Linked DNA regions of Oreochromis niloticus. The protein of the gene in region 1 interacts with the protein of each later gene in a biochemical or structural test. Links are inferred from orthologs where the notes say so. Each region holds a gene or a part of one and is shown on either strand. Other genes may lie near its edges.

Region 1 (10,442 bases):
CACTGTACAGCATACACCACGTTGTTCAGTCTGTGTTTTGGAGTTTTGTCTTTCGGGTGAACCAGTTTGTGTCTGAGTGTGTTGCTGGGTCTGAAGTACACTGGGATGTCGTGCTTGGAGAAAACTCTCCTGAGTTTCTCTGATACACCGGCTACATAGGGGATGACAATGTTGTTGCATCTGTCTTTCTTATCCTCCCTCGCTGGTGTCTGATCTTCTTTTCTGTGCATCTTTGCTGACTTTATGAACGCCCAGTTAGGATAACCACAAGCTCATGGCACAACATAGAAGAGCCACCTCCACGGGACAAGACTCAGCAGTTCATCTGCATCTTAAGGTCAAAGGTCACTCTTTTGAGGATGCCAACGTTCACATTTTGGACAGAGAGGACAGATGGTTTGAAAGAGGAGTGAAAGAAGTAATTTATGTCCACTGTGAACAGAGGCGGTGGTTTACGACACCAACTGTCTGCCATCTATAATCCAGTTTTGAGATCCTTCCCAGACGCCTTAACGCCCACTCACATCCTGGGCCATCTGACCTCAGGAAATCACATGATAGGGTGGGGCCAGGTTTCACAATGAGCTCACCCGAAACTCTGGCTGATTAGGACCCCCACCTGCTTTCACACCTTGGCTCATGTGATTAGGTAGAGGATCACCAGGGGGTCCTTTGTCCCCCTTTGGGGGGGAAACTCCCACTAGGTTTAAATCTGGGACTCTCCACCACTGACCCTCAGAACTGAAGAAGCTTCTCGGATGAGAGGTGAAACGTCTTCAAGCAACTTAAAGAACTCCAGACGCTTTTCTTTCCAAGCTCCTTAGTCCATTTGTATTCTATTTTTATCCTATTGTATATTTTATTCTACTGTATATAGTATTTTATTCTATTCTGTACAGTTGTGTACGGTATTTATTCTTATTGTATTCTAATTTTTGCTTCATAACTTTTGCACTGTCCACCTCCTGCTGTGACAAAACAAATTTCCCACGTGTGGGACTAATAAAGGTTATCATATCTTATCTTATTTCTTGAACAAATGGGACCAATCAACTTTAAACAAATGTGAATTAATTCGCTGTAAATCTACTCACTAACGTAAAGAATGTACTCGATCAATCAATTAGTCGACTCTCGGGTCACTGGTATGTTTTGGCTGCAGCTTTAACAACGTGTTTTTGCATCATTCCTACTAATATTAGCACACATGCTAACACTCACTGCTCGATCCTGGGGTTCGACTTCTTCTTGTTCTTCGTCTTCACGTTCTTCCGGTTCCGGTTGTAGTCAAACTTCTTCCTCCGGGCTGACTGCTTGGCTCGCGGCATTTTAGAGATTTTCCTCCGTTTTCAGAGCTGCACACTTTGTGTTGTTCTTACTGTGGCTCAAAAAAATCAGAAAGGGACAGGCAACATGCGGGCAGCAACAGGAAGCACGTGTTTGGTTGGTCCAGGTCACGTGACCACCAAGCCACGCCCCCTCCAACCCAACCGTTTTTTATTAAAAACTTTTTATATTTTTTTCAGAATGTACAGAGTCCACCTGCAAAAAGAAAATAAAGAAATAGAATGAAAAATAATATAGTACAAGAAAAAAAATATTTTAATATTTACAAAATAATGTGACAAAAAATAAAAATATAAATGAAGAAATTATTTTCTCTGATTAAAACAATTGTTTCATAAATCAAGTAACTCAAATAATTTTGCAGGGAAAAACTTAAAAAATAGAAAGTTTTAAGTTTGCTGTATGTTATGCAAAACTGCTGAGATAAATAACAGAGGTGAGTCCAGAAGGGGGGCGTGTGGTTCGAATGGACCCATCCCAACAATGTCACTGGATCAGAGTATTGTTAATCTTACAGTGGATGAGAGCAGGAAGAAGGTACAACCATTCACTCACTTACACACTGTAACATTGTAACATATTCCCATGTTATGCTGTTTTCTTTTACTCTTCTATATGTTGAATATAAATAATGCATCATTCATTTTAAAGCTTTAGTATCTTATCTTGCAGATAAATTGCATTACTAAGCTACCCAACCACAATATACATCATTACAATATCAAAAGCTTCAACATTAAACTGGTATAAACGTCGATCAATCTATAATTTTCATCCATGTCATGTATATGACCGTGAACATGCCATGTGTACTGTATTTATTCTTATTTTATTTTATTCTAATTTTTTGCTTCATAACTTTTGCACTGTCCACTTCCTGCTGTGACAAAACAAATTTCCCACGTGTGGGACTAATAAAGGTTATCTTATCTTATCTTATCTTATCTTATGAATGATTCATTCATGAATACTTTGATTATAAATCAGAATTACAACTTTCTGCTTTTTTGTTGACTGCTAAAAGTCAAAATTCTGTTTTTCCACTTCACAAAACAATCATCCAACACAAACTGATCTTTAAACACGAGCAACATTGTTCAATACACCACCATGTAATAAATCTGTAATAGCATGCAAAAATCAATCATAATAAGTAAATATACAAGCAAAATATTATTTAATATTTCATTATTAAATAAATAAATAGAAATAAATGAATAAAAAACCTATCCATGTTGGAATGTTTTATTCAAAGACACAATGGTAACACATCTGGGTCAGGGTTAACTCTGTTTTTGTTTTTTACCATGTATGCCATTAAATGAATTAAGACTTTGTAACAGTAAGTTAAAGCACTAAAAGCTTATTTATGATCGTTGATATTAATAATTTATCAAACATTTCTTAATAAGGGTGTGGAATTATGCATCATCAAGAGAAAACATTAAAAAAAAATCACAAATAGACTTGGAATCGTAAATATGCTCATTTTTATTTTATTTTTATCCCAATTTTTAAAATTAATATTTGTATTTATTTCATTATGTATTCAAACTCATGACTTAGGGATGTTTATTTTTAAATGAGATGCTGGACATCGTGTATTTCTGAGCTGCTGAGTCAGAGCTGAGAACCTGCAGCTGACGACCGAAACCTCCAGAGGTCAGTGTGATCTAACCTACGCCACACCTACTCAGAGACTCACAGCGCTGAAATCCAGACATCCTCAGAGTCGTCATTATTCATTATTGATCAGATATAAATAAAATCTACACTGCTGATGATCTGAGTTTCTTCTCATAGTTTTCTTTGTGAGAAACAGCAAAGTAGAAATACTAACACAATCCTCCTGAAATCTAATATATACCAGACTTTAGTGCCAGAAGTGAGGAGCAGCCTACAGTCTCTCCTCGAACCCTCGACTCTGTGGCATCCTTTAAAAACCAGTCGCCTGGGTGTTTTGTATTGCTTTACTGGATTCAGGTGTTTATCTCACCATTTTTTAATACATTTGTAAAGCACTTTTTGACATGTCCTCATCTTAAAAAGCATTATATCAATAAACTTTACATATTAATAAAGCAAGTTTACCTGCACACTATTACCACTTAAATTCACAAATAGCTAAATGACATATGATAACAAAGAAACATCAATAAATATATGCCAATAGTACCACAAGCAGTAGGCCTAGTAGTTACAGTAGTAGACACATATTTTCCGTACAGTTCACACAAACACAAACTGTCTTCAATATTACAGGAAACAATAAAAGTTCAGATGACTTATGAAAATTTAAATTTCCCACAGCGGTGGAATTTCAATTCATTCATTGTAAGCCAGAGCTCCTGGAGGCTCTTCTGATTCTAAGAAATGAGTCCAAACCACTGAACTGAATGGTTTAATAAGTAAAAGTAGAAAGAAAAAAACAAAACAACAACAGCAATTTTAGTTATTTTCAATAGAATTTGCACAAATGTTTGCAGTTAAATTGTGTTGAACTTACCTAAATCTTAAATCGTACCTATTCTTTTAACAATTCATTGTTGTATGGTTTGAACAATGAAATGCTTTAGTTTATACATATACATACGTACATATACATATTATAGTATACGGGAAATACAGCTGCCCTTCTGCTTAATGATGCAGCTGATCTTTTTAATAGGGCAACAATTACATTTTAATATCCACAAATCCTTCATAATTAACATTATCTCAATTTATCAAATTTAAAAAAAAAAAGTCCACCTGAGAATCTCAGACTGGCTTAAAAAAATCCATGAGAAAGCAATATTTGTTTACAGTTATGCAAAATGTAGATTCCTGTTGTCATTAGTTTTCTCAAAAATACTTTTGGGATGAAGGTAGAGCTGTTTTTCAACGTTTTCCTGAAATCATATTTGAGAGGCCTTTTAAAGGACTGTTTGAGCTCAGTCCTTCAAATGTTTCTCTACCATTATAGACTGTCAGGAGTGGCGCTCGAGTTAATGACGAATGCTTGAATTCCCTGAAATATTTGGATGTACAATCTGTGACAACCAAATCTGCTGTCAAAGATCACACATCCAAATGTTTCAGGGAATTAAAGCATCATCATCATCATTTATTTATATAGCACTTTAAAAACACACCTGGTAGACCAAAGTGCTGTACAATACCAATATGCACATAGTAATAAATAAAATAAAATAAAATAAAATAAAATAAAAGCATTCATCATTCTACCTCAACTGAAGTCCTCTCCTCAGAGTCCACATTTAAAAAGTACTGAGCTCAAGTTATTTTAGATAACGGAATTATAAAATTGCCTCTCATTAAACAATTATAGAAAAACTCCTAAAAACTGCATTACTTAATTCCTTAGATTATCTTTTAATTAATGATAGGAGGGACTTCCTGTTAAGTAGTTTACTTTTGCCCAGGAAACTCGTAGATGGCCAGTTGTGGGCGATTTGATGACCTCCACGGTTTCACAAACTTAGTTTTGTACTTAATTTACAACACAGACAACATTATCAATAGAGCTTAAAATCAACATGTAGTCTACAAATAACTGCAAGAAATCAAAACTTTTTGCGAATTATTTACATACTGAGATCAAATGGGCCTAACTGTAATGTGATTGGTTTGTCTACAACAAATATATTTGCTTTGACATAATTTATTGGACAAAGAGACAGACAGCATAAGTAATAAACCGTTAACCCAAAGTCACGAATGAAACCGTCAGCTAAAAGTAATACACAGTTAACTGAAAACAAAAAAAAAGAAGTAGCAAAAAATGTATAAACTGTTAACGTAAAGTAACGAATGAAACAGCTAAATGTAATAAACAGTTAGCTAAAATAACAGATTACAAGGTCAGCTAAAAGTAATACACAGTTAACTAAAAATAACAGACAGTTAACTAAATGAATTAAAAGTAATAACCTGTTATAAATGGCTAAAAGTACTCAACGGTGAACCAAAAGTAATTAATTAAATGTTTAGCTAACAGTACTAAATGCTTAAATGATTAAACGGTTAGCTAAAAGTCATAAAGCGCTATCAGAGACCAGTTGTGCCCGTCTCTGGTAAAGGGTCCATTATGAATAATGCCAGTCAGTCTTTTTTAAATTGCATGGTTAAGTTTTGTGGACAGTAAAGTTTGTTTTAATATAACTCAAACTCTAATGGTATTGTTGCTAGCATTTTCTAATAGCTTTAAATTGCTTGTTTAAGTAACACACACTTCGAGGCTAGCTCAAAACCGAAGCATTAGATATGAGCAGAGTGAGCTATCTGCCTTTGATATTATGATGTGTATTTCCTTAAACGCGCCTTTGTAACAGAGTGAGAAGTCTGCTTTATTTCCTCCTCTCTGACAGCAGCTTCAGGGCGGAGAGATGGAGCGAGGAGGAGGAGTAACAGGAGGAGAAAGAGGAGAGGAGGGGCGCGGACTGTCACCGGACGGGTCTGCGCGAAAGCAGAAACGGAGCTTGAGTTTTTCCTCCTTGGCTGGGCGGTGGGAGGAAGTGGTGGCGGTGGACGGTGCTTGGCAGAGGATAACTGTGATTGAAGCCGCCGGGGGGACCTGGAGCTCGGTGTGCTGCCGCTGCTGTAAGCCCGCACAGCATTAACATGGAGCTGGAGAACATTGTGGCCAACACTGTGCTGCTCAAAGCACGGGAAGGTAAGGATGGGGAAGGCGGTGTGACAGCTCCTCTCCACCGGTGTGTTACAGTCACAGCACCGGAGGGATGCCCCGGACTCGGGCGACACGAACTATTCCTGCACTTCCTGACAAATCTTTTGATGATGCGCGCAGGGTGTTACCGTAAATACAGTTCGTACAAGTAGATTGAAACGACCAACCGAACTCCGTTTATAATTCGAGCGGTATAAGCCTTTGTTTCATATCCGTGGTCCTACCCTGAATGTCAACTTAATGAGGACTTTATTCAAAAATTTAGCAAACAGTGTCCAAATCGGCGTGGAATATGTTTAAACAAATCTCTTAATTACCGTGAAATCTCTGTCTTCCTTGTTCATTGTGCCGACTACATTGTAAAGTCAATAGCTCTGTTATACTACCTACACAGGGCATGTATGAATGTTTACTATATTCCAGTATACGCCGAATTAAAGAGTATGACCTAAAGGCTGGGAAAACGTTACAAGTACCAAATGTTTAAAATTATTTTTTGGCCTGGCTTTGATAGTGTACCTAAAAACGTTGTCCGGAAAGGGTTGTAACCGTGAACTGTGGCTGCAGCGACACATCGGGTTTCCCTTGCTGATCTTGCAGCATCGTCCTGTAGTTTGCGAAACAGGATGTTGTGGCAGAGCAGCTGCTGTGCATGGCTTTGTGCACACAATTGATTTTACTGTTCCTGCCAAAGCCCATCATCATTAAAAAGGCCCTCATTAATCAGCTACAACCAGGAAGCTGTGATATCTGTGGGTAAGAGTCCAGGTGAAAAGGTTGGCTTGTAGGAAACCCTACTGGCACAGTTTGTCCAATGACTGTTAACACTTTTGAATACCTAATGCAACATAAACGGCCCTCATGCGATCAAAGGCTTTTGTTATTGTTCCAATAAACAGGAGACAAAGGTTTGAGTGGCTCACAGCCGACATAATCCTAATGCTGTCTGCACAGGCACCTGAGAAGATGTTTCATGAGTTTATCAGCTGTGCTCATACATAACCAGGACCTGAGGCTCTGTGCTGGCATCCAGCTGAAGCACCCTTGAGAAAGGCACCGTATCTCCGGGCTCCGTCAGGCCTTGACTCTGACCTCTCTGGAGCTGAGACTTATCTAAACTCTTGAGTTCAGCACTCACACAGACCGGCACAAAGTTTGAGCCCGAGGCTTTTAATTTCCTGCGTTCTGCAGAATTTTCTGCACCGGTTTGCACCTTTTCTCGTCGCTTAATATGTAACGCATAATTGCTTTATAATGATTGTTCTCAGTTTTCCTCATTTAACACTGTCCCCACTGAGTCATCACACATGTAGCCGTGACTCTTCTGACCTCATTGGGGTTTGCCTGGTTTTGGATGTGAGAGTCATCTGATATCGGGATAATTCCCCGGCCTTTTGTTTGGGGATGAATGAATAATTTGTTTATTTTAATTTACATACCTAAGACGTGTTTCAGTAAACAGGGCACTCATTCATTGAAACAAGGGCTGGCAGTGTTATTCTTCAGCATGTGTTGGACAACTTTTCACTTTCTTTAACCCAAACTGGGATTTTTTTCCTCTAAATATCTGCATGTAGTTTTAAGTAATAATTTATGAGGTTTTTGGATCAGTAATGTATTTATGATGTATTTAAAATAACACAAATTGATGTAAAAGCTGACTGAAGTGATTTGCTCTAACAACGACGATCCCTCCATTTAAAATTGGAAAAATATTCATGTCATGCACACCAATGACGTTGAGGAGTCCAGTGACACTTAAGTTAATAGGGAACAACTCTATGAAGTGACCAATGTGTTTCGGCTTGGTCGAATGACCCTGAGGAACGCCACAAGCCGAAACACGTCAGTCACTTCATAAAGTTGTTCCCTATTAATTTAAGTGTCGCTGGACTCTTCTGTTTGTTACATTCTGTTAGTGGAGCGATAAATACAGTCAATAAACTGTAATGTGTCAGTGAACAACACAGACACATTACAGCGGGTCTTTACTGAAACTAAATCAGAACACAGAGGCAGTGTGTGACAAACAGTGACTGAGTGGCTTGTTGAAGCATGTTTAGCAGGAGTAATTTAAAGTGTGACTTTATTAATCTCCCATATGGTTGTGGAGGATTTTTCATTCACTCTTCTTTACAATGTTGCTTCAGTTCATTGAGGTTTGTGGGCACTTGTTTATGCACAACTCTGTGAATGTCCAACCGCAGTATGTCAGGCGTGGCGGGGACCCTGAATCTTTTCTTTTTCAGTCGTTCTGTTTGATTTGCTGCTTTGGATCATTGCCCTGTTGCATGACCCAGTTTAGTTCAAGCTTTAGCTGTCAGACAGATGGCCTCACGTTTGAGTCTTGGTATACAGGCAAGTTCATGGTCGACTCAACGGCTGCCAGGTGTCCAAATCATCATCCATCCACCAACATACTGAAAGTTGGTATTAAGGTTTTTTTTCTGATCTGCTGTGTTTGGTTTTCTCACAGGTGGCGCTGTGCATTTCCACTTTGTATCATCTGTCCAAAAGACATTGTTCTAGAAGTCTTGTAGTTTGTGGAGATTTGCAAACCTAAGCCGTGCAGCCATGTTGTTTCTAGAGAGACCTTTTTCCTGGAAACCCTTCCAAACAGGGTGTACTTGTTCAGTCTTTGTCTAAGTGTGCTGAAATGAACTTTAACCTTGCTAACTGAGGCCTGTAGAGTCTAAGACTTTTCTCCAGTTTCCTACACGTTTGGGTGTCTTTGCTGTTCACTCCTGAGAAGATCGTAGTATGTTTCTGCTGGAGGTTTCTTCCTGTTGAAAGGGAGTTTTTACTTCCCACTGGTAGGGCTGCTCAATTAATCGAATTTTAATCTAGATTACGATCTGGGCTTTCAACGATCATTAAAAATGACTGAGCCGATTATTAGCACCTCCCTCGTGCTTTACTCTCGCGCTGCTCCGTGTGGCAAATCGAGCGCACCTCTCCGCGTTTCGAACACGCGTCACAACAATTAAGAGGATCCGAGGGAAGCTCGGAAAGCTAAGCAGAAGTTATTTGGAGAGGAGAGGATAATGGCTGCTGCAGAAAGAATGCCGTTGGTTGAAAAGAGGTAAAACGACTTCGGTGGTGTGGAAACATTACAGGTTCGCGGAGTCAGACGGGGATCAAGTAGACATAGTGTGGAAACTTTGCTACGGTGTCGTAGCTGCACCACAGAGCAACACTACAAATTTATTCAATCATTTGAAGACCGCTCACAAAGTGACACACGATCAAACAATGAAGGAACATAGAGAAAAACTCTCGACAACACCTGCTTCATCCTCACAGACCTCCATTCACGCTACCCTGTACAACGCGACTAAATATCCCACCAGCTCCCAGAGACACACGGAGATAACAAACGCGGTAACGTTTTCCTCGCCAAAGACCACTGCTCAATTAACACAGTGAACAACCAGTATTATGCAGGATTTTGAAGTTCACTAAACATAGATGTTTACATTTTTCATTTATTTTTTATATTGCAAACATTTGCACTGTAATCAGTATTTGCACACTATTTTATATTATTTTTTGACCTCTTTAAAGTCATTATTCAATACATTGTTATTGTTAAATAAATAACAATGAAAAGCGCTATATAAATCCAATGCATTATTATTATTATTAATATCGTCAAATAATCGAGATCTCAATTTCAGTGAAAATAATCGTGATTATCATTTTTGCCATAGTCGAGCAGCCCTACTGACTGTCATCAAGTGCTTGCTCACAGGGGGTTGTCTGATTGTTGGGGATCATTGAAAGGTCTTTACCTCAAAATACGAAGCACCTTGAGGTGAAAGTTGTTGAGATTTGTGCTATAAAAAAGAAATTAAATTGACTTGTGTTATCACACACCTGAATGAGTCAATAGAGGTGGTCATGCTTGCAGATGATAAATTAATTAACTGCATTTGATCAGCATGTGGCTGATACTTAACCTCTAAGTCTCTATGGATGCATTAGGGGTGCTCTTCATTTTCCCCACACTGTTTCTACATTTTGCTTTAGTTTTGTTACAAAGTGTGATGTTACATATGTCATATTTTGGATTTTATCAGGTTATATTTACCTAATTTTAGAACCTACAAAGAGCATGATTAATTCTTGTTTGTGTACTTTCTTTGTAACTGCGCACGAGTCCTAAAGATAATCCTGTAATCTAAATGTACGTTTTCAAAGAGCATACCGCTTAGGTGCAGAGGAGGTATGCAGCCAGACGATGATAAACTCTCAGCTCATCAGCAGCTCTGTTTTTGCATCCGTAAACCTTTTAGAGGGGCAGCACCTTGATTTTCGACATGTTTGTGTCATTCAGGTGTGTTATGGAAATTTCAGAAGAAAGCTTTTTTTGGGAGTTTCATCTGTAGTCGACCTGTTTTACTGT
Region 2 (10,303 bases), on another chromosome or scaffold:
ATATATATAAATATATATATATATCTATATATATTATTAAACTAGCTGAAAACTGATTATCTTTATGAATAAATAAATAAATATAGATTTTAAAAAAAATATGTATTCATATTACATATTTACTAGTTAAAGGTAGAATCACTCGTGCTTTCTAAGGAAAGTTGGATTAAAGTTCCCAATCCCATTCTTCCCAAAGTTTTAAGTAAAGGTAATAATTTGGCTTAACCTTAAATACCTAATTTATACTATTAATCCTGTTGTAAGTCTTGCTGCAGACTGCCTTTTTTCTAACAGCATGTTTCAGTAAACCGATAGGTCACTAGGTCATCACCAGTGTTGGGTAAGTTACTTTAAATTAGTAACTTAGTTACATTACTAGTTACTTCTCTAAAAAAGTAACTCAGTTACTTCAAGTTACTCGTTACTTTCAAAGTAACTAGTTACTAGGGAAAGTAACTTTGGTTTTACTCAGAATTCTCTTGTTAATGTGTTGCTTCCGTAACTGGATACCAGCAAGATTGCCAGTCTTCTAGCTTGCTTACTTGCCACAAGTGCACTGTGCCACCTACCAATAGAAAGGAAAAAATAATGTGCACATTTCCACGAGAGAAATTCCACGCCTGGACCGTCGTTGACCGCCGCCATGATTCTAGCCTGCTTTTTACATCCAACACAAAAACTGCAGTCGTGGTGCTTTTGATTGTACTCAGAACTTGGAAATTCTGCCTTCTGAATAGGAAGATGTAGGTAACACCAGACTGCAGATGAGCTGCATACAGAGCTGGACTGGGACAAAAAAATCATCCCGGGCATTTTGACTAGAGACCGGCCCACCATTATAGGAAAAATCATAAAGCCTTTGAATGAAAACAAACACTGTTGTGACAGTGATGTACACTGTTCTGATGGTATATATGTATCAATCTATCAATTGTTTGTTGTAAGACTCAGATAATTTTTTTTTTTTTTAAAGCAAGACATTTTAAATGAGAATAAGAAAGAAAAGTATTTCTTTGTGCCCCCCTTTCCCTGTTAATGCCCTACCTGGCCCCCTGGCAACACTTTGCTAGACCCGCCCCTGCACAGTTACCAGCTGTCAGCTACATAGAAAAGGATCCTGGTGTTATTTGTCTCTCAGAAACAGTTCATAACTTCCCTTCAACTCATTCATGTCACCTAAAAGGTAAACCTGTTTCTCCATCACCTGTTCAGCTCTGATGATTCAGTAAGGACATCTCCTGGTTTCATCTGCATGTTTCCCTCTCACCAGATAACCAAACCGATATCATGACCAGCAGCTTTACAGCTGTGGCTCCAGCAAACATCAGCTGATACTAGAAATTAATATTAAATACATTCTAACAACAGCTGATCAAGCTTAAACGTGATGCTGTTGTTTAACGCGACATCCGCTGGTTTCCTCTTTCTGGCACAAAGTGGGCGATAAACAAACAAGAGAGAAAAGCCGATCAGCTGATCATTGATCAGTTTCGTGATTGAAGTAGAAACAGGAGAGGAGAGAATGAGAGAAGAAGAGGCAGCTGTGCAGCTTCAGCTTTGTGTCTTTTTCATTGTAGCTGAAGTCCGGGACAAACTGTGTTCCTTTTCACCTCAGTACGAAACGCGTAATATTTTCTCTGAATACCAGACGATTCTGTTTTTTACGGGACGGTTGGCAACTCTAATAATTAACCATATGAACAAAATAAAGTTCAACATCAGTAACATAGCACCCACCCAGCTGTATAGAAACTCCGTCATGCTAGCTAGCACGCAGTACGAAAATGTCAGCATACCGAAAATAAACTCCACCTAAACTTGGTTTATATCTGACTCAGACAGACTGCAGGTCATAACTTCTTACCGGAAGTTCAGTTCACCTGACACGCGGACCGGCGGCCGCTTCGGGTCTCTCCTCTTGCCTCCCTTTTCCTTCATCCACCTGCTGGCTTCCACCACTTGCTAATGTTATTGAATCTGTGGAAGCTCCGCGATATCCACCACACGAAGTAACGAATAACGAGCCTATCTAAATCCCAGTAACGAGTAACGCGTTCCTGGTTTTGGCATAATAACTAGTTACCGTGCTCGTTACCACAATAATAACGTAGTTACTGTAACGCGTTACTTAATAACGCGTTAGTCCCAACACTGGTCATCACAGTATTTGGCCTTTAACCTCCTCAAACAAGAGTCTAATTCGCCCTTCTCTTTGTATGTTTGCAATCAATGAGGCAGAGAAAAAAGTGACTCCCGTGAGACTGGCAATTCCTCTGCCAGGTGAAGAAAGACTTCCCGTCTCTAGTTTACCTTACCCTTAGATATTAGCATTAGAATTCAAGTACAAAAATTCTGTACACACAGTAAAATGTGACACTGTAACAGGTGTTGGGAGGGGGGGGCTGAGTAATTTGTTGGGCCATCAGGTCAGCATCACAACTTCAATAAAGAGAAGTAGGAATTGTACAGGAGATGGTAAAGAGATAAGACACTTTTAATGTGACAGTGTTTGACTAAATAGAGCAGTGCACAACATCTAAGTGCAGACAGGACCCAAATGTGAACCGGTTCTGCCTGGGAGTGACAGGATACAGGAAAACAGATGTCACAGACTGAGGAAACCAGTTGTGATTAATCCAACACTGGAACAAGCTTTCCAAAACAGAACACAGAACAGAAATTTCATTTACAATTAGTGTAGGTTATTGTACTGCATATTTAAACTAAATCAATGTGAAGTTTAATATGTACTGTGTTTCACTTAGTTGTCCACATAGGCCTACAATTACAAACGAGCTCAAGGCCTAAATCCAGCATTCTCAGACAACGCTAAAGCTGATCATCCAATAAAAAGCTTTCTTGATATTATTTAAAAATCTTTTTTCTGCATTAAAAGCAAAACAGAAAAGCTCCTCAAAGTAATACATGAAGGAGAAAAAAGCATTTGATGCCTATGCTGTACATTATAACTTACAATCTAACTGTTGGAAGGTGCTGATAATATACTGACGTATCTTTAGAGGCTAAGCATGGTGGGTTTGTCATGCATGTTGTGCAAGAGATAAGACTATGGGGGTTACTAAAATCAAATGAGTAAAATGAGCTGGGGGTATTTCATGGCACTATTTTTACCTGCTGATCCAGTGGGAAAGCCCAAGGAGTGGACTTTTGATTTCAGAGCAATGCATGTTTACATTTTTCCTCTTTTTGGGGCGCATGTGGAAGTTTAATCCTCACAGTAGTAAAAGGAAATAGATTAAAAGGTCATTAAAACATCTAAATGAATTTTGGGAATATGACTACTGGTTTTCATGGAAATCTGCCAAGAGAAGTTGTCATATAAGCAACATATGTAACGAGACAAAAGGTCACCAAATCAATTTAAGTCTTCCTATGAATGCCTATGGAACATTTTCGAGTAATTCACCCAGTAGCTAGTTACTGACATTTTGCCTGGAACGTTTACTGTGAGCAACAAAGTTCAAATTAGTCAGAAGGCACCATGGTTACAAGCAGTATGCAGCATGTCTCTGACCCGTTTTTGTTTAAAAAGTGGGACATAGAAAATCATATTTGTATAAATAAGTACTGAGATGTCTGTGTAAATGCTGAAAATTGGATTTGCGCATATGGATTGAGTGGTTGGATTTGCTCTTGCGTCATCAGTCATATAGGCATTTGTCAAAGCTCCCTTGGAAGTGCACAGAGGAAGTACAGTGCCTTTGGCGTCTGCATTCTTTGAAGATCAGAGCTCTGGAAACTATCATCACTTCCCTTTGTAAGCTTAGCGTGGACCTGTACACACTTGAAAGCACCCACAGATAACTGAGACACACTTACCTCGACCTGGGATTTGAAATGTTGGACCAGTTGCTCAAAAATGACAAAAGCACAAGCTGTAGCTCATTTTCACTGCTGTGATGCTGATAATAGAGCAGCCTAATTTTCATCAAAATGTACAGTCATCTGAACCTGGTTAACAGTGTGTTCCACACATAACTCCATTCCACAGTACTGTCACTAAAATCACTTCACTCATCACTGATCTCCCGTTGGTTAGGCTTGAGAATGCCATTGGCAAAGCTCATATGTGATGTGGTATTTAAGCCGTTTTACCTTGTCTACCGTTACTACTTCCTCTCGGTCTCATGAGTACAAGCAGGCTGTCAGTTATCACACTTCATTTACTCTAATGCTTTCTGTGTCGATCACCATCATCAGGATTCGCAGCATCAGCAAGCTGAAGCAGAAGCAGCAGAAGCCATTTGGAAAGCACTCGGACTGGACGTTGCCAGTCTTGACCAAAATTCAGTCACTATCTAAAACATTAGTGCTATCACGTGCTATTGCAGTCTACACTCGAGTTTGCAATTTGTCACTATTGGTGAAAACTGATTCTACCGTTAAATCATCTTTAATAAATCTTTGTTAGCTATTTTACTTATCTGCCACAAAATGTAAACGAGAAGTCCACTGTTGAGCAGGGTCATGTCAGGGCACGTGTTTCTAAGCAGTTTTTGCAGTGTGGCGTGGCACGCTGTCAGGCTAGTGGTCACTGATTTTGACAAGTGGTATTGTAATGTAGTGGTAACCTTTGGTAGCACGCGTCAAATTAACATAAATGCCAGGCCCTAGCACAACATTGCATTTTAATGATCAGTGTCATTCACTTCGACTGTCAGGTGCTTCAGTGTGGAGACTAACCGGTGTAGGCTGAAGACACAATTCCATTCGTATGGCTCAACCACTTGAAAACTACCGCTTTGTTTGTTTGTACATCTGTTACACCTGCTAGCACACTTTTCAGAGTCTTCCTATGTTAGCTGAAACAAGCAAGTGAAGTCTGTGTTTACAGTGTAATCACTCTTATCGTGTTTGCTGCTTTTACTACTTTCCCTGCCTCAGGCTTTCCATGTATATACATGAAAGGGCAGGAGGTGTGTTTCCCTCTATGTTAGGCTTTTCAAGTATCCATGTAGAATGACGGGGACGTCCAACAAAACAACCAAATGCAAATTGTTGTAGATGAAAAACAGACTAACCTGTATTAGTATATTCGAGTGTCTTTTACATAGACACTACAATGTATAAGTATGAAGTTATTGTTAAGATGCCTAAACAATGAAAATGTTATTTATCTAGCTCTGAAGATTTCACTGTTTGCCTTTTAACTTGTGTAATATAATGTAAATGTACAAAAACATGGGAACAAATTGCATCTTGTGGCTGCTAATTAACTTAAACGTGGGATCAACTTGATCAGAACATTGGAATGTTTATTTAAATAAGAAATAAAGTTGCTGTTCATAAAAAACAAACACATAAACAAATATAAAATAATTTCCATGCTCAAAGATTTAAAAAAAAAAAGCTATACATACTGAAAGTAATTGTGGTAAAACATCCTACTTAGTTGTTGCACAACCAGGTCACAAACCCAAACAAACGTACTGTGGTTTAGGTGCTCTGTAGCTTTCTTATCAGCCACGGTTTGGCTGAAACACAGATAACAAAGTTCTCTGCATCAAAATTTAAATAGTATTTAAGATACATATATTAAAAAAAACAAAACAAACAAACATCCCAGTTTTTTTATGATTTGCACAGAGCTACTTTTAATATATAAATGCAAATTTGTCCTGAATCCTGAAAACATTTTTGTATCTTGATAAGGTATAGCGTGACAGCTTGTCCCTGTCAAACTGGCCACACTAGTGGTGCAGTCCTAGACTAAAATTATGAGGGACTCTTCCCTAGTTTGACTTTTAGACATCTGTACTTGTAGCATTATGTAAATCTAAGTGTTTTCATTCTGTGGTTACAAAAACTAAACGGGCTGTAATATACATTTAAGTATGCGGGCAGTATTTAAGTTCAACAAGTAAAATAGGTCAGAAAAAAATATACATAGTTTTAAAACATTACTTTGACATTAAAACATAAAAAGGTAAAGCAGAAAGCTGAGCCTGTTTTCAATATGAAATATGAGCAATGAGTAAGATCTGTAAAGCAGCTATTACACATTACCCCCCCCCCTCCAAGTAGTTTTGCAGTGCCTAACTTTAAGTAGAGTCTAATTTTAAGCACAGTGTAGACCTTCTAAAACTAATTTCACACTATAAAAAAAAAGATCAATCTAAGGAGTCCTTTACTTTGTTTGCAGTTTTTGTCTCATGCAGCCCTGCAAACACCACTGTAGGGACAGCGTGTTCAAACTCTTGAGAGCTCTCTGCACCCTCCGCAGGCTGGCTGTCTGATTGGCTCAGCACTGACCATGATGTCATCACTGCATGCTATAAGGGCTCTGACAAATAGCCTGGGAGACACATTAGAAGAAACACTGCTCAGCTGAGGGACTGAGTGAGTGAGACACGCGTAGATCAAGTAAAGCAGAAAGTAGCTGGGACATGTGATACTCACTGCTTTGTGGGAACTACCTAAACAGTGACATTTTACTTTGTATGGGAGCCAGGAAACACGACTGCTACCTGTGGAGGTTTGTACTTCTGCTTTTGTCTGGCTTGTTTAGCATGTTTTAAAGCTTGCTTGAAACTAACTGGATATACTGAGTTTATGTATGTGGGTTTTGTGCGGTAAGCTTTGGTCTCCTTTTTCTTTTTTGTTAGTGCTAGATTTAAGTGCATGCATTTTTTTTCATTTTCTTTTGTTGTAATTAGGCAGAATTAAAAAAAAAACGTAATTTGTAAAATTCACTCCTTTTGTTTGTGTGTGTGTGTGTGTGTGTGTGTGTGTGTGTGTGTGTTTTGTTCATATGTGTTCTCTTCAGATGGGAAGTACAACCAACTCAGAGTACACCAATATGACTGCAATGAACTCGTCATCGAATTCAACTGGGACTGATGAAGGTTTCAGTGCCCCTGTAATGATCCTGCTGGGCATGGTCATGTCCTTATTAGTTTTGACTATTGTCTTTGGCAACATCCTGGTCATAACGGCAATTGCCCGCTTTCAGCGTCTCCAGAATGTCACCAACTGTTTCATCACATCGCTTGCCTGTGCCGACCTGGTCATGGGTCTGATTGTGATTCCTTTCGGTGCCTGTAAAATTATCTCTAATAATACGTGGTACTTTGGTAATTTCTGGTGTGACTTCTGGACTGCCACTGATGTGCTCTGCGTGACTGCAAGCATTGAGACCCTCTGTGTCATCGCCATAGACCGTTATTTGGCCATTACTTCTCCCTTCCGCTACCAGTCAATGTTGACCAAGTGCAGAGCTCGCTTTGTGGTGGTGCTGGTCTGGGTGATTGCTGCACTGATATCTTACCTGCCCATCCACATGATGTGGTGGACTGCTGATAATAAGGAAGCTGAAAAGTGTATAAACCAAACTGATTGCTGCGAATTCCACACCAACCAGGCTTATGCCATCACTTCCTCTATCATCTCCTTCTACATCCCTTTGGTCATCATGATTTTTGTCTACAGTCGAGTTTTCCAGGAGGCGAGGCACCAACTAAAAAAGATTGACAAAAGCGTTGGACGTTTTCATAACAGCGACATCAGCAACACTAATTCTCTGGAGGCCAATAATGGGCGTGGCCTTAAAAAGGCGAAGTTTTGCCTTCGGGAACACAAAGCTCTGAAGACTCTGGGCATCATCATGGGGACCTTTACTCTGTGCTGGCTGCCCTTCTTCGTGCTAAACGTGGTGGAGGCTATATGGGCTGTGAACAGCCCGACCACCTTTATGGTACTTAACTGGATAGGTTACGCAAACTCTGCCTTCAACCCACTTATTTACTGTCGGAGCCCTGAATTCTGGTATGCATTCAAGGAAATCCTGTGCATGAAGAGGAACCGCCTCAGCAACCCTGGACCTGTGAATGGATACATCTATAGCAGGCACAGCTGGCAGAGTGAGCAGCAGGGGAGGAGTAAAGGTAACTCAGAAGAGAGTGACCCCACTGAAGGGTTTCTGGGGAAAGGAGCAGGGGTCTGCAGTGTTGTGGACAGAGCAGTGGACCCCAACGGGAATTGCAGCAAAGACATAATGACTGTAACGAGTATAACGACTGTCCTATAAACTTGAAGCACTGAGACTTCTGTCAACAAGGAAATCCAGATATGTTTACATTGCTATTGTAAACTTTTTTTTTAAATGGCTGATGAAGGTAAGGCCAGTCAAAAATGACTGACAGAGTCTCTGGAGACTTTAAAGAAACAATAACTCAGCTGTTCAGCTGAGTAAAGTGTCACTTTTCCTCTTCAAACACAGTGACACAAAACTGTAGGTCTCTCACATTTCCCTTTTGTGTGTGTTTCTTGCATTTTTTTTTTTTTTGAATTTTCACATCTACCTCATCATACCTTTTCAATATTTGCATCTTAGCTGACCATCTGTCACATTAAGTCACTCTCCGCAGGAGTTAAAGTAGGGCAGCATCTCAGCAGTTTATTTACTCTACTAAATGGCCTGTGGATTGTATGACTGCTAATTGTCTGGCTTCAACTGAATTTGTAGCCATGTTGTTTATCTTTGAGCTGGAGAAAGATCCCACAGTTTTTATTAGCATAAAATGTTTCAGAATTTCAAAGGAGAAGCGGTCGGAGGTTGTAAATTTCATCCGAACGTGCCAATTTGGCACAAAGAGCAAAGTAATCAGAGAACGATTGAAGGTGAAGGGTTAAACGTAATACCTCTTCGATGCTTTGCTTCAAGAAACACATTCCAAATTGACCGAGACTATAATCTGGCATCCTTTACTTTGCTCTTTTTTTCTTTAACGATTGTCCAAATCTGAAAAATGATCCAAAGCAGGTGTGGCAAAACCCGTCTCAGTCGCTCTGTTTCACTCCTCAGCAATGTTACGAGGCCCTGTTCCCTTCTATAGTGTATTACAGTCTCTTGCATTTGAGTTTCCATTGCGGGCGGATAGCACTAGAGATATGAAGCTTCACAGTAATCTATGAGTTACTGATGAAACCTAGGTCAAAGTGAGGGTGGTCAAAACTTGCAAGCATGTATATGCTGTCTAAGCCAGATTCCGCTGTCAGGTCAAAAGATATATGTAATCTTTCGGTGCAAAGTGGATGCCATTACAGATAATGCGGTTAATCCTGAGTGTTGACCTTTGAAGCTTGCAGCTGTTATTAACATAAATTCAAAAGTGCACATTTTAAAGTTTGCTATTGCACAGTCAGAACCCATCACTTCTTGCATTCTGTTAAGTGGCCGACTTATGTGCTACATGTGACTCAGTACATTATGGCCATTACGTAAGTGTAAGAAAAACTATTCATCTTTCCTTTTCCTTCTATGCAACAGTTACAGTAGCGCCCTTTGTTGCACAAGCCCTATTTATTTATTAAAATCTGTGGTTGCTCTGTTTCAGCATGTACACTGTTTACTGAAACCAGAGAAGCCATTTCCTTAGTCATGGCACAAGGGTACAAACCACACGTAATAATAAACAGTGTGTCAAAATAGCCAAGCGATAACAAAGTTCCACACCCAAGATGTGGCGGTGGTGAATATTCAGGGTAATAAAGATAGATGAGAGGAAGAAAAAGAAAACAGCCCTGAGTAGCGCACCACTGTCACGGCTCTCTCACAGGTGCCTCCGCCGTTGTAAAATCAGTTGCAAATCAGAAAACCTTTGGATAAGACACTCAGGAGTCCATAGAACAGTGCCTTAGCTGTTCCACTTTCTGACATTAATTCTCTAATAAACAATGCAGGTTAGAATAAAATCCGAAGGGGCAATTTAACATGAGATCAGATACTCATGGGAACAGAATTTTTTTTTTTGTGACTTACAGTAAACGGTGTGCAAGATCATTAGTCTTAAGAGAAGTAATGAAGGTGTGCCTACAGACAGAACCCCTTTCCCCAGTCAGTTTGGCAGTCTCTAGTATGTCTTGATCAGCATGCTAAATGTGGCAGAAGGGGGACCAGGGATTCTCTGCAAGTCTAAATCGGTGTTAGTGACCTGTGTTAAAGTGCATGTAGCATTGCCGGTGCAGGTCTGCTGATGCTGTAAAAACTGTGAACTTTGTTCTCTCAGAGGAATCTCCATGTACTGTATTGCTATGTCCGATCAGCGGTGCTGCTGCTGCAGACCTTAGGAATAGACGTAAATATGGTATCCTCATACGTCACTGTTTGCCATGTGAAAAAACAAGCTTTCCAGGATGTCGAGCTCATTATCTGTTTTTCTTTTTAACAGATTTACAGCAAAGTAAATGCAGGGGTTGGGTGTCATAAGACATGTTGGTCTGCATTTTCCCAACATTTTCACTGTACAGTCTACGCAAAGCACAAAACGGTCAAAGCCTCTAG

What was found.
Region 2: the proteins of grk6 (region 1) and adrb2a form a complex in vitro, tested with the Homo sapiens proteins (2 studies listed by BioGRID, with this or other methods). The link is inferred for Oreochromis niloticus from reciprocal best matches to the Homo sapiens genes GRK6 and ADRB2.

Annotation. Positions count from the first base shown.
Region 1 is NC_031975.2:30,386,897-30,397,338, reverse strand, and holds the start of grk6 (G protein-coupled receptor kinase 6), read left to right. Parts: upstream 1-5,761; 5' UTR 5,762-5,970; coding exon 5,971-6,022; intron 6,023-10,442. Other genes in the region: nop16 (nucleolar protein 16), read right to left, coding at 1,222-1,328.
Region 2 is NC_031966.2:29,904,440-29,914,742, forward strand, and holds the start of adrb2a (adrenoceptor beta 2, surface a), read left to right. Parts: upstream 1-6,315; 5' UTR 6,316-6,496; intron 6,497-6,787; coding exon 6,788-8,047; 3' UTR 8,048-10,303. UniProt on the Homo sapiens protein: Beta-adrenergic receptors mediate the catecholamine-induced activation of adenylate cyclase through the action of G proteins. The beta-2-adrenergic receptor binds epinephrine with an approximately 30-fold greater affinity than it does norepinephrine.